Caenorhabditis elegans: one gene and its partner. The protein of the gene in region 1 purifies or fractionates together with the protein of each later gene. This does not show direct contact. Each region holds a gene or a part of one and is shown on either strand. Other genes may lie near its edges.

What was found. The genes of interacting proteins can lie anywhere in the genome.
Region 2: the proteins of K07A1.10 (region 1) and K07F5.14 fractionate together in Caenorhabditis elegans (co-fractionation; one large-scale study listed by BioGRID). This does not show direct contact.

The regions. Positions count from the first base shown.
Region 1 is NC_003279.8:9,614,177-9,618,832, forward strand, and holds K07A1.10 (Large ribosomal subunit protein mL64), read right to left. Parts: upstream 2,158-4,656; 5' UTR 2,142-2,157; coding exon 2,059-2,141; intron 2,007-2,058; coding exon 1,752-2,006; intron 1,405-1,751; coding exon 1,125-1,404; 3' UTR 1,016-1,124; downstream 1-1,015. Other genes in the region: ate-1 (Arginyl-tRNA--protein transferase 1), read right to left, coding at 1-33, 555-638, 799-901; putative histone-binding protein rba-1, read right to left, coding at 2,430-2,489, 2,540-2,726, 2,785-3,039, 3,100-3,251, 3,294-3,734, 3,782-3,925; putative histone-binding protein lin-53, read right to left, coding at 4,227-4,656.
Region 2 is NC_003282.8:9,859,453-9,864,804, reverse strand, and holds K07F5.14 (NUC153 domain-containing protein), read right to left. Parts: upstream 2,585-5,352; 5' UTR 2,582-2,584; coding exon 2,357-2,581; intron 2,243-2,356; coding exon 2,134-2,242; intron 2,082-2,133; coding exon 1,588-2,081; intron 1,539-1,587; coding exon 1,215-1,538; intron 930-1,214; coding exon 813-929; 3' UTR 738-812; downstream 1-737. Other genes in the region: K07F5.16 (J domain-containing protein), read right to left, coding at 1-94, 198-317, 380-481, 530-610; npp-1 (Nucleoporin Nup54 alpha-helical domain-containing protein), read right to left, coding at 3,060-3,269, 3,317-3,514, 3,565-3,743, 3,838-4,231, 4,282-4,461, 4,518-4,699, 4,938-5,207.

The DNA of each region.
Region 1 (4,656 bases):
CGTTGACAGTCATACTGTGTGCCCATGCTCCGCCTGTAAGCAAACTTTCAACAAAAAAAAATTTCAAACAAAAATTAAGTAAAAAACTATAAATATAACTGGAAGAAGAGCTGGAGAAGGTGTCGGTTGTACTTTAATTTAAAGTTAGAATTCGTTTACTTACGTGCTCCAGCCAGCCTCTGCAAACCACATAAAGTTGTCCGGTGAAATTGTGTGAATTACTAGTGCTGAAGAAACATGCGGACTGACAGGGCGAAATCGGTTATTTCACTAACATTGTGAGCCTTTAATCTTTAATAGGTACAGTAATCCCGGTTATTTTACAATTAAATTCAAGTTTTCAAACCTTTTTTTTTCGAAAACGTATTAAATTACAAAAATAAATTGAAGCTCAGGAAAATAAAGTGAAAACAGCAAAATCTGAGTGAAAATGTGATTACTGTACTTTTTAAAGGCGCACATGTTTGGAAAAGTTTTAAAAGAATCGCGACTGGGTTATAATTAGACAACTTTATCAGAATTTTAGAAAGTTAATCTCCAATAAGTACTCATACCGGTCGTCACTGACGATTCACTGGACACTTCTAACTCTTCTTCCAATCCATTTGTCAAATCTTCTTCTCCTGTTTCAGCATTCTCTTAAAGACGACAATATAGAAAAGTAAATAACATTAAGCAGTTTGAAAATTGCAGTATACAAATCAAGTTAAAAGTTTTAGGAAATGGGAAACAGTAGTTTGTTAGTAAAAAATCAGAATTAATTTCAAACAACAACAGAAATTAGGAAATCCGACTAACTTTTTGCGGAACGAGCTGGAGTTCGTTCGCCGCGATCGTTTTTACAATATCCACAACTGGATCGTTGATTGGCACCGATGAATTCTAAAAATGTTGGATTCATCCCAGCTGAAAATATGGATTAATTATATCGTCAAAAGAAATCTTTAAATGAGGATTTCAAATAATAGGCTTGACTACCATGGCAATAATTGAAAGGTAAAATGAGCATTGGTTTTTTGAAAATATTTATAATGTTGGAAGAAAATAAAAACAAAAACAAGAAACTATATCTAGAAAAAGACAAAAGGAAAAACTAGGAAAAATTAAGAAATCTGACAAATATATTATCCCTGAACGTTCTCTGCAAATCGTTTCTTCTGAATTTCGTCCCGCTTTGCCATTTTCACAGCCTTCTTCTCTTCTGCTTCTTTTTGCTGTAGCATCACTTCGAATCTTGGATCTTTTGGATCCATCCAATATCCAAAGTATTCTTGAATGTCACGAATTCGTTTTTCAAGTGCTACTTCCTTTTCGTCTTTCTCTTGTTCTTGTTTAACCAATGAAGCTTCATATTTTGCAAGTGTTGCAGGATACTTTTTGAGATTTTTCTCGAGTTCAGCAATTCTGAAAATGGATTCAGATGACATATTTGTAAATTTTTCAGGCATTTTTGTGTAAAGAATTCGCAAAGACTAAAATTTCAAAAATGTCTTAAAAATCGATAATTCTATTTTTAATTTTTTAAACATATAATTGTCCGAAAATTTGACAAACGGTGTTTCAAATAAAATATTGAAGAAAAAAATCAAGGAAAGCCGATTTCGTGCATGTCAGCCACTTGCACGAAATTCAAAAACAATTAATTTTTGCCCTATTTTCGCAAAATTGAAGCAAAATTATCGAACGATTCTAAATTTTTTAAAGTTATGTTTTAAAATGTTGCTAATTTTGAAATTACAATTAAAGTATACCTCGCTAACTCTGATTCCCTCTTCTTTTTCTGTAGTTCTTTGTATTCTTTCTTAGCATTATTAAATTCTCTGAACAATCCAATGGCTTCTTCTTCCTCAATTTCTTCAGCTGTTGGGAACAGCTCTTCAACTGGTACACCACTTTTTAGACCATATTTTCCGAATCTTTCACGACGAGATGCTCGTTCACGCTCAGAATCAAATTGAACCGGTGGCATCCCACCAGCAGCAATGATTCGATGACGGGGACGTAGACTAAAAAAATGTTTTTTTTTGTTTTTTGAACATGCAAAAAATGAAAACTCACAAACTAACATCAACCTTCGGAGCGATTTCCTCACTTGAATTTGTTGCAAAACTTCTTACCAAAAGTCTCCAATTTCTCAACATTTTCTTTCTGGATAACCTTGAAATATGTTTAATCAATATATTCCTTATCGTAAGAAAATAAGCAATGTAAACCGACTAAACATGGTTTCGCAAGTGCGCCCCATTGTGAACACACTATTTTTCAAAGTAAATATTTAGTGGCAGAGAAAACCTGAGAAATTAATTCTGAATAGATGAACACAATATGAAAGAAAATGAAAAAACGTTCATTGATAGGAATGTGATTTTTACATTCAAAGATCAGAAGTGAGAAAATTAGTAAAATTCGACAAAGTGCAATTTAGACGATTAAATCATTTCGGTCTCCCATTTTTCCGACGAAACTAAACTGTTTGAAACTTCCCACACCTGAAAAACCATTAAATAGTTATGATTAATTTTTTGAAAATAATTCTTGCCTGTAATGCATTAAATTCGTCGCTGCTGCAAATAGTCCATGGGCGGTTGGGATTCCAAGAGAAATCTGCAACTTTTCCAGTATGCCCAGCGTGAATAAAAATAACTTCTGGTGGAACAGAATCAGATGATGCAGCTGATGAAGACGATGGGTCTTGAATTTTAGAAATATCCCAAACGATAACCCGACTGAAATTTTTGAAATTTCATAGGTTAAACAAATACAACTTATTAGGAAAAAACTTACTCATCCGATCCACTACTAGCCAGAACAGTTTCATAATGCGGGCTGAACGATACTTGAAATATTTCGTCGTTGTGATGTTTCAGCGTGTACATTTTTTTGCGCATATTCCTCATATCCCACAAAGCAACCGTTTTATCAACAGATCCGGTTGCTAAAATGTATTCGGAAAACGGATTGAAAGTAATACAATTAACTTCTGCAGTATGTCCGACGGCTGTGAGCTGTGGCTTTGATTGACGCAGATCCCATAGGTTTCTAAAGACGTGAAAATTATTTTGAAATCTCGACAGAATGGTATGATGTATTTATACTTACAGTTTTCTATCATCTCCAACAGATCCAAAAACGAAATTATGGAGCGCGTGAAAAGAAACATCCTCCGCATTTGATGAATGACCTTTAAACTTGCTTTGTGGCACTATTTGACCGGAAATGGTCTGATTCGCGTTTATATCCCAGTGGCAAATCTTAAAAAATGTATATTTATGTATATCTTTTGTTAGAAATACCATTCCGTCATCGCCGGCAGTTAGCAAATGTCCCTCTCTGGTGTTGCTCCACGACATTCCATATCCTTCGCCTTCATGGCCTTTCAATCGCAATTGAGGTCGAAATTTGGTGTCTTTTGGTTCAGATGGGTGCTTCGTGTAGTCGAAAATATAAACGTCATCAGAAGGACCTCGACTTGCAATAATGAAAGGATTATGTGGCATGTAACGTGCCCTATGAACTTCTCCTGGATGGTTGATTTTAATCTCAGTATCCCATTTTGCAGCGCTGCCCTCTCCATAACCTCCGAACTCTTCACGTTCCGAATCCCATTTAGCGTCGTCGAATTCTGGTGTGTCTGTCGTTATTGTGAACTTTGAGATCATGAGATGATTCTGAACTCCTCCACAAGTATGTGTTCCATGAATCATTCGATGCATCGATGAATCCGAGTTCTCTGTCTTAAAAAAATAATGAAGAAGGCGAAATCATATTTACCGATTCTTACTTTTGTGACATCAGGCATCCATTGCACTGATAAAGAAGGCCACTCGACCTCTTTTGTGACGACTGTATCGTAGAGATATGGAACATTTTTCTTCCAAATTCTATGTTCTTTACTCGTTTCTTCACACGATTCAGCTTCACTCATTGTGCTCTGAAATTGCCTGAAATAACAAAAGATACAACAAAAAACCAAAAATATCACAATCTGAGCTATCACAACAATCACGTTAACATAATATTTCAAAACAGTTATCTGACAATGGTCATCGAATTTATTTCAGGTTCAACAAAATATGATCATATCTCAAGGTAACATTTTAACTTTAAAAACTTAGTTGGTGAAGAATATGCGTTTGAATAAATGGTAAGATGAACAATTTGTTGAGATGCAAAATTAAAGAAGGATAGAAGTTAAATACAAATAATTTAAGCGCGTTTCACGTATTTTACTGTTGTCTCTCTACCACATCGGCTGGAGTTTCTTCGTCAACTTCGTTGTATATGTTATCAGCCATTTGCCACACTTGGAGAATATTGTCTTCTGACACACTGCACACAACCCAAGGCTCGTTCGGGTTCCACGAGAAATCGCTGATCTTGGCGGTGTGCCCACCGTGAATAAACAACAGCTCTGGTGGACCATCTTCCGCGTCTTCGGCAGATTGGTCTTCTCCAATCTTAGATAGGTCCCACACATGAAGACGTTTATCAGTACCGCTGGATGCAAGAATAGTCTCGTTGTGTGGACTCCACTGAACTTGGAAGATTTCATCACGATGTGATTCAAATGAGTGAAGTTTCATTCGTAGATTACGTAGATCCCAAAGAGCGACAGTTTTATCAGCTGATCCGGTGGCCAGAATGAATTCGGAATAT
Region 2 (5,352 bases), on another chromosome or scaffold:
TTTCAGATTTTTCAGATTTAAAATTTTGAGACAACTTTTCTGGTTGATTGGCTGCAATAGATGGTTGAGATTTTGGAACTGCCCAGTGAGTTGACTGAAATTTTTTATTTTCTTTTAAATAGAATTAAAAGTTTCAACAAAAAAGCACAAGGACCGAACCAAAAAAACTCAAAAACACATATCGGAGCCAAAATTACCATCTGAAAAGTGTCCTGAGACTTTGTGAAGTCTTCAAAAGAAACTGGAAACGGGGAATGAAGCCACGAATCGTAAGTTTTTCGACGAGAATCACTCGTTAAAATAGAATATGCATTCTGAAGAGGTAACAACAATTATTGTGCGTTTTATTGATATTAATTTATTTTATTAAACTTCCCTGTAGCTCCATGAATTTTTCAGTCGAATTCGTGTTGTGCTCCTTCACTTTATCCGGATGGCAGTCGCGAACCCGTGCCCGATATTCGGCAGTTATTTGATCTATCTGAATATAACTTAAATTATGAAAATATTATTTTAAAGTTTAACCTACCGAAGAGCTTTCATCACACCCAAGCAATCGATAGAGCTTTGGCTCTTTTGGTTTTGCATCCAAAACATCCGAAAATGACATTACGCTGAAGAATTCTGAAATATTATGATAGTTTAACAAAAATTATCATAAAAAATGTAAAAGGTATTCTCATCGGAAATTAAACCAGAGTAAGTTTTCAAAAAAATCAAAACATTTGAAAATATGTATTTACTATAACAAACATTTGAAAATCAACAAAAACAACAACGAACAATTGAATAACTATTAGATCTTGAACATTTCACGCAGTCTCAGGAGCATCTTCGTTTCCTGTATCAGCTTTCCGTTTTCGTTTTCCATTTGTGAAAAATGAATCTTTCTGCTTTTTTACTGCATCACGACGTTGTTTCTTCCAGAGCTAAAAAATGTATGAATAATTTATATTGGAAGAAGAAAGAAAAATCGATTAATAATGACACTTTTCCGCAAAAAGATTGAGAATGAGATTGTGTATGCGTAACGAGAATCAGACAGTTAGGGAAAATTTTGTTATTTATTAAGATGGTGGACTTATTTGATCATACTGGAAATTGGTATAACTTTCTGAATCAAAACAATTTGAAATCTTTTTTGTATTAAGACTCGCTTGAAATAATAAAACAGAGCTCAATAGTCGGTCAGGCTCAAAAAAAAAACTACTCACCTTGAAAATAGCATCTCGATGAGGTGCCCATTTATCAATAACTTTCTCCACTGTTTGAGTTCTTCTGAAATTAGCCGCTAAACTTTTGATTTTTTCATCCGACAGAGGATCGACGAAAAACTTTGTGCTAACTTTCACTTTGAGTAGAGATTTTTCGATTTTGTCAACATTTCCAGACGGTTCGGCTTTACTTTGTGTTGGTTCTATTTTCTTTAAATTTTCTCCATCATCTTCAACTGCTTCGTCATCATATTTTCTTCCAATCATTGATAAAAAAGAGAAACCTCCAGTTGACGGATCATCACCATCTTTTCGTTCTTTCATCTGAAAATAATTTTTGTGTGAAAAATGTTTTTTTTTGTTGAAAACTCACTTCAGCTGAAAACGCGTCATCCATTTTGAAAAAGATTTCAGCTTTCTCAAAGCTCTCATCACCGCTTTCCTCGTCTTTTTCAACGACTTCTTCCTTTTTCTTTTCAGTTGAATCTTCGTCTCCTTCGTCACTTCCATTCCCATCTTCGTCCGAATTTGTACTTTCTTCAGTTTTCTTGACTTTTTGTGGATTTTTCGAAGCTTCAAAAGCTTTCATCCATTCCAAATGCTCAGGATTTTCAGGATCGAAACGAGTGAATGGTCGAGCTTTAAGTGTTGAAGACTCTATAGTATTTGGTTTTTTCTCTTCGACACTTTTTCCTAGAATTTTAGACAAAAGTTCTCGATTTTTATCTTTTTCTAATTTCATTTCTTGCTTTTCCGAGCTCTGCTCCATATTTCCATCTTCATCAGAATCACTTTCTGCAAACTTGTCGTCCAATTTGAATCGGGGATCACTATTGAAACGTGATTCTAGGTGCATCAGCTTTTCGCCTAAAAATTGAAAAATAGTTTTGGTTTAATTTATTTTAATTTTAGACAATACCTTTAGGACCAGAGTGTCTATTTTTGATTTCAAAATCTTCCTCCTCATCTTTATCGTTTTCATCTTCAGAATCGAAGAGTTTTGGACGTTTTGAACTGCGCGAGGTTTTCTGAATTATTCCAACTTAGTTTACGAGTATTGTCTTTACAGCAAACAACTTTATGAAATCGGGCAATTGCTGTTATAAGAGATTTTTATCTCAAAAAATTGAAAAACTTCCAACCTTTTCACCATTCGCGGCTGTTTTTTCTGTTTCTTCATCCTGATCATCCCCATCATCCGAATCTTCAAATACAATGCGTTTTGTCGTTTTTTTGTCAACATTAGCAATGTCAGCAGCAATTTGACGATCTCTTTCTCTCTGATCTTGAATTTTTTGCCTCATCGCGGCTCGACGAGCTTCATCTGAACGTTGACGTCTCTTTTCATCATTGTCTTCATCGTCCATTTTCTGAGATACATTTTGCAATAGTTTTTATGTGATTCTAATTATTTGAAAATCGCAGAAATTCGAACGGGAGACAACCGTTATTTGACAAAACTCAAACAGAAAAATGGAGATCAAATTTATTCTAGATAGAAGTTTGAGATGAATTAATTCAATCTATTAAACAGTGTGTGAAATAAGACAATTAACAATTTGAGGAGGTCAGATCAACAGTTACAACCAAGAATGAGGCATATTTTATGAAAAAATGTACTCGTGATGACAGGCGAACATAGAAAAAAGCGAGCTTTTTTGCTCAATATGTATAAGTTTTAAAAACAATTTTCTGCCACACATCTTAGGTCGAAACAGAAATAACCAGAAACCTGTCAGAGTTTGAAAGAAAATAATGATGATACAAAAGAAATGAGCGAATTTTTAAATTAATACGAGAAAATCTGAAAAAAAGATTTTCAGAAAATCTTTTCTAAAAAATAAATTATCCTTCTAGAGCCCTTCTACAAGCTTCAAGACTTTCGATTTGTTGATGTGTTGACTCGTAAAGGCCAGAGCAAATATTAACAAATTTGGTAAGCACTCTACGAGCATAGTGTTCATCTTCAATTGTCATATCAAACATTTTCCACATTGATTCTTGAAGTTTATCCGGTTTTGATTCCAAAATCTCGTAGAATTTGTCGACATAAAACTGAAATTAATTGTTTTATACAAAATTAAATCATAATTTTTTCTCACCTTCACTTGATTATGACGATTCATTTGGGCAAGAAGTGTATCAGCTTTAGCTTCAATTACATCCTCATCAGTGTCAATTTGACGTGAATATCTTGATACAATCCATTGTGCAAGCATAACACGAACAATTCTGTACGAGAGAGTTTTATGGCGATTACGAATAATCTCCATCTTAACAACTGCATCTGCATGTTCATGCTGAAATATGTATGACATTTGTAAACTTTCATCAAGTTATAACAACTTACATTAGCTTCTTCAACACGATTTCCCAATGCATTAATTGCCTCGTGGAATAGTTTCGACTCGCCAACTTGAGCCTTCTGTCTGTCTCTTAATGCTTCCCATCCACGTACTGGAACAGGAAGAAGTTTGTTTGGAGCTGGGTTTTCTTTGATTGCTTGTCTCCAAATACGCTCATCGATTCCTGAAATGAATGAAATTTGATACAATGCGAGGGAGGAAAACGAAAATCTTTGTTAATAAATGATAAACATAGTAAAAATAACGAGTAAACTAACCATCAGGAACTGTCTCCAAATATCTATCTCTTTGTGCTTTCGACATTCCAACTTTAGGAAGAACCCTTGTTTTATCCACTTGCAACTGCGATTCTAATTGGGTCATTTTTGGAGCATCATTGAGGATTTGAGCAAGTTTAATAGCTCCTGCAACAAATCCGCCTTCTTTGGCGATAATACAGATTTCTGTGCATCCATCAGAAAGTGTTCTCATCGAAGTACCAGGAGCATATCGAACTTCTACATTTGGTCCGCCACCAAGAATAGCTTTGATAATTTCAAGAATTTTGTCACGGCGTTCTTCTGTGTTCAAGTTTGTAATAGGATGACGCAGCACCAAAGTTACAAATCCCTCATCGTCGGTTCGCTCCGAAATACGATTGTATCCGATTCCCTGAAACGTGACACTGTGCAAGTTTTCAGTGATTTATAAAATAAACTTACAACAAATCGTTCAAACAAGTTTCCTTCCATTGAAAACGATAGAAGCTGATTTCCATCTTTGTATGGAGCTTTTCCGACACCCAAACCGGCAGCAACTTGATTCAACTTAGCAACAACTCCATCATTATCATTTCCAAAGAGCTTTGGATCTCCGACAGCTTTCACAAATGGGTGATACTGCTGAAAAAATTTTATTTGGAAAAGCGCTCAGATATTCTTAAGATTCATTTAATTACCTGAATAACTTGTTGCTGCTGAACAACAGGCTGTTGTTGTTGTTGAGTTGCTCCAAGACCACCAAGAGTAGACCCTGAGCTGGAACCAAAAAATCCGCCTGTAGCTGGCTTTGCAGTACTCGATCCAAAAAGCGTTGATCCCGCGGCTGTTCCAGTCGACGCTGCTCCGAATGGGGTCGATCCTGAAAATTGAGCCATCAAAATTATCAAAGTTCGTTAATTAGACAATTATATTCCAGATTCACGATAAAATACTTGAAGCAATGTTTTAAAGCTAATTAGACATATCTAAATTAATTATTTTTAAGATTTAATATTAGGTTTAGTTTTTTTTTTTTTTATTCGGTTTTTGATCTGACCCACCAAGTCTACTCAATTCTAGAAATATGAAAAGCTAATACAAAGTTGATGAATACCAACCTCCAAATGTTGAGTAGGGAGGACGATAAGCTGCTGGAGCCACATTCAAGTTGTTTGCCGGTGATAGAAAAGATGACTGTGGGGCATTAGTTCCTGGTAACGCAGATGGTGTGGCAAAAGATGTTGGAGTATTACCAGAAAGACTACCAGCCCCCAAAGTTCCTGATTTGAATGCTGCCAATCTTGTGGCAACGGGTGATTTGGCAGTTTGTTGTGTGGATCCAATACCGCCGAGACCTCCAGATGTCGTTGATGATGTTCCGAAGAGTCCTGAAGTTCCAGAAGTGGTTCCAGATGCCGGAGAATTTGTGAAAAGCGTGCGGTTAGCGTCATTGGGTGCTCCAAACAAATTGCGACGGGCTGGTGAACTAACATTCTGGGTTGCTGGGGCTGGAGCTTGAGATGCTGATGTCGT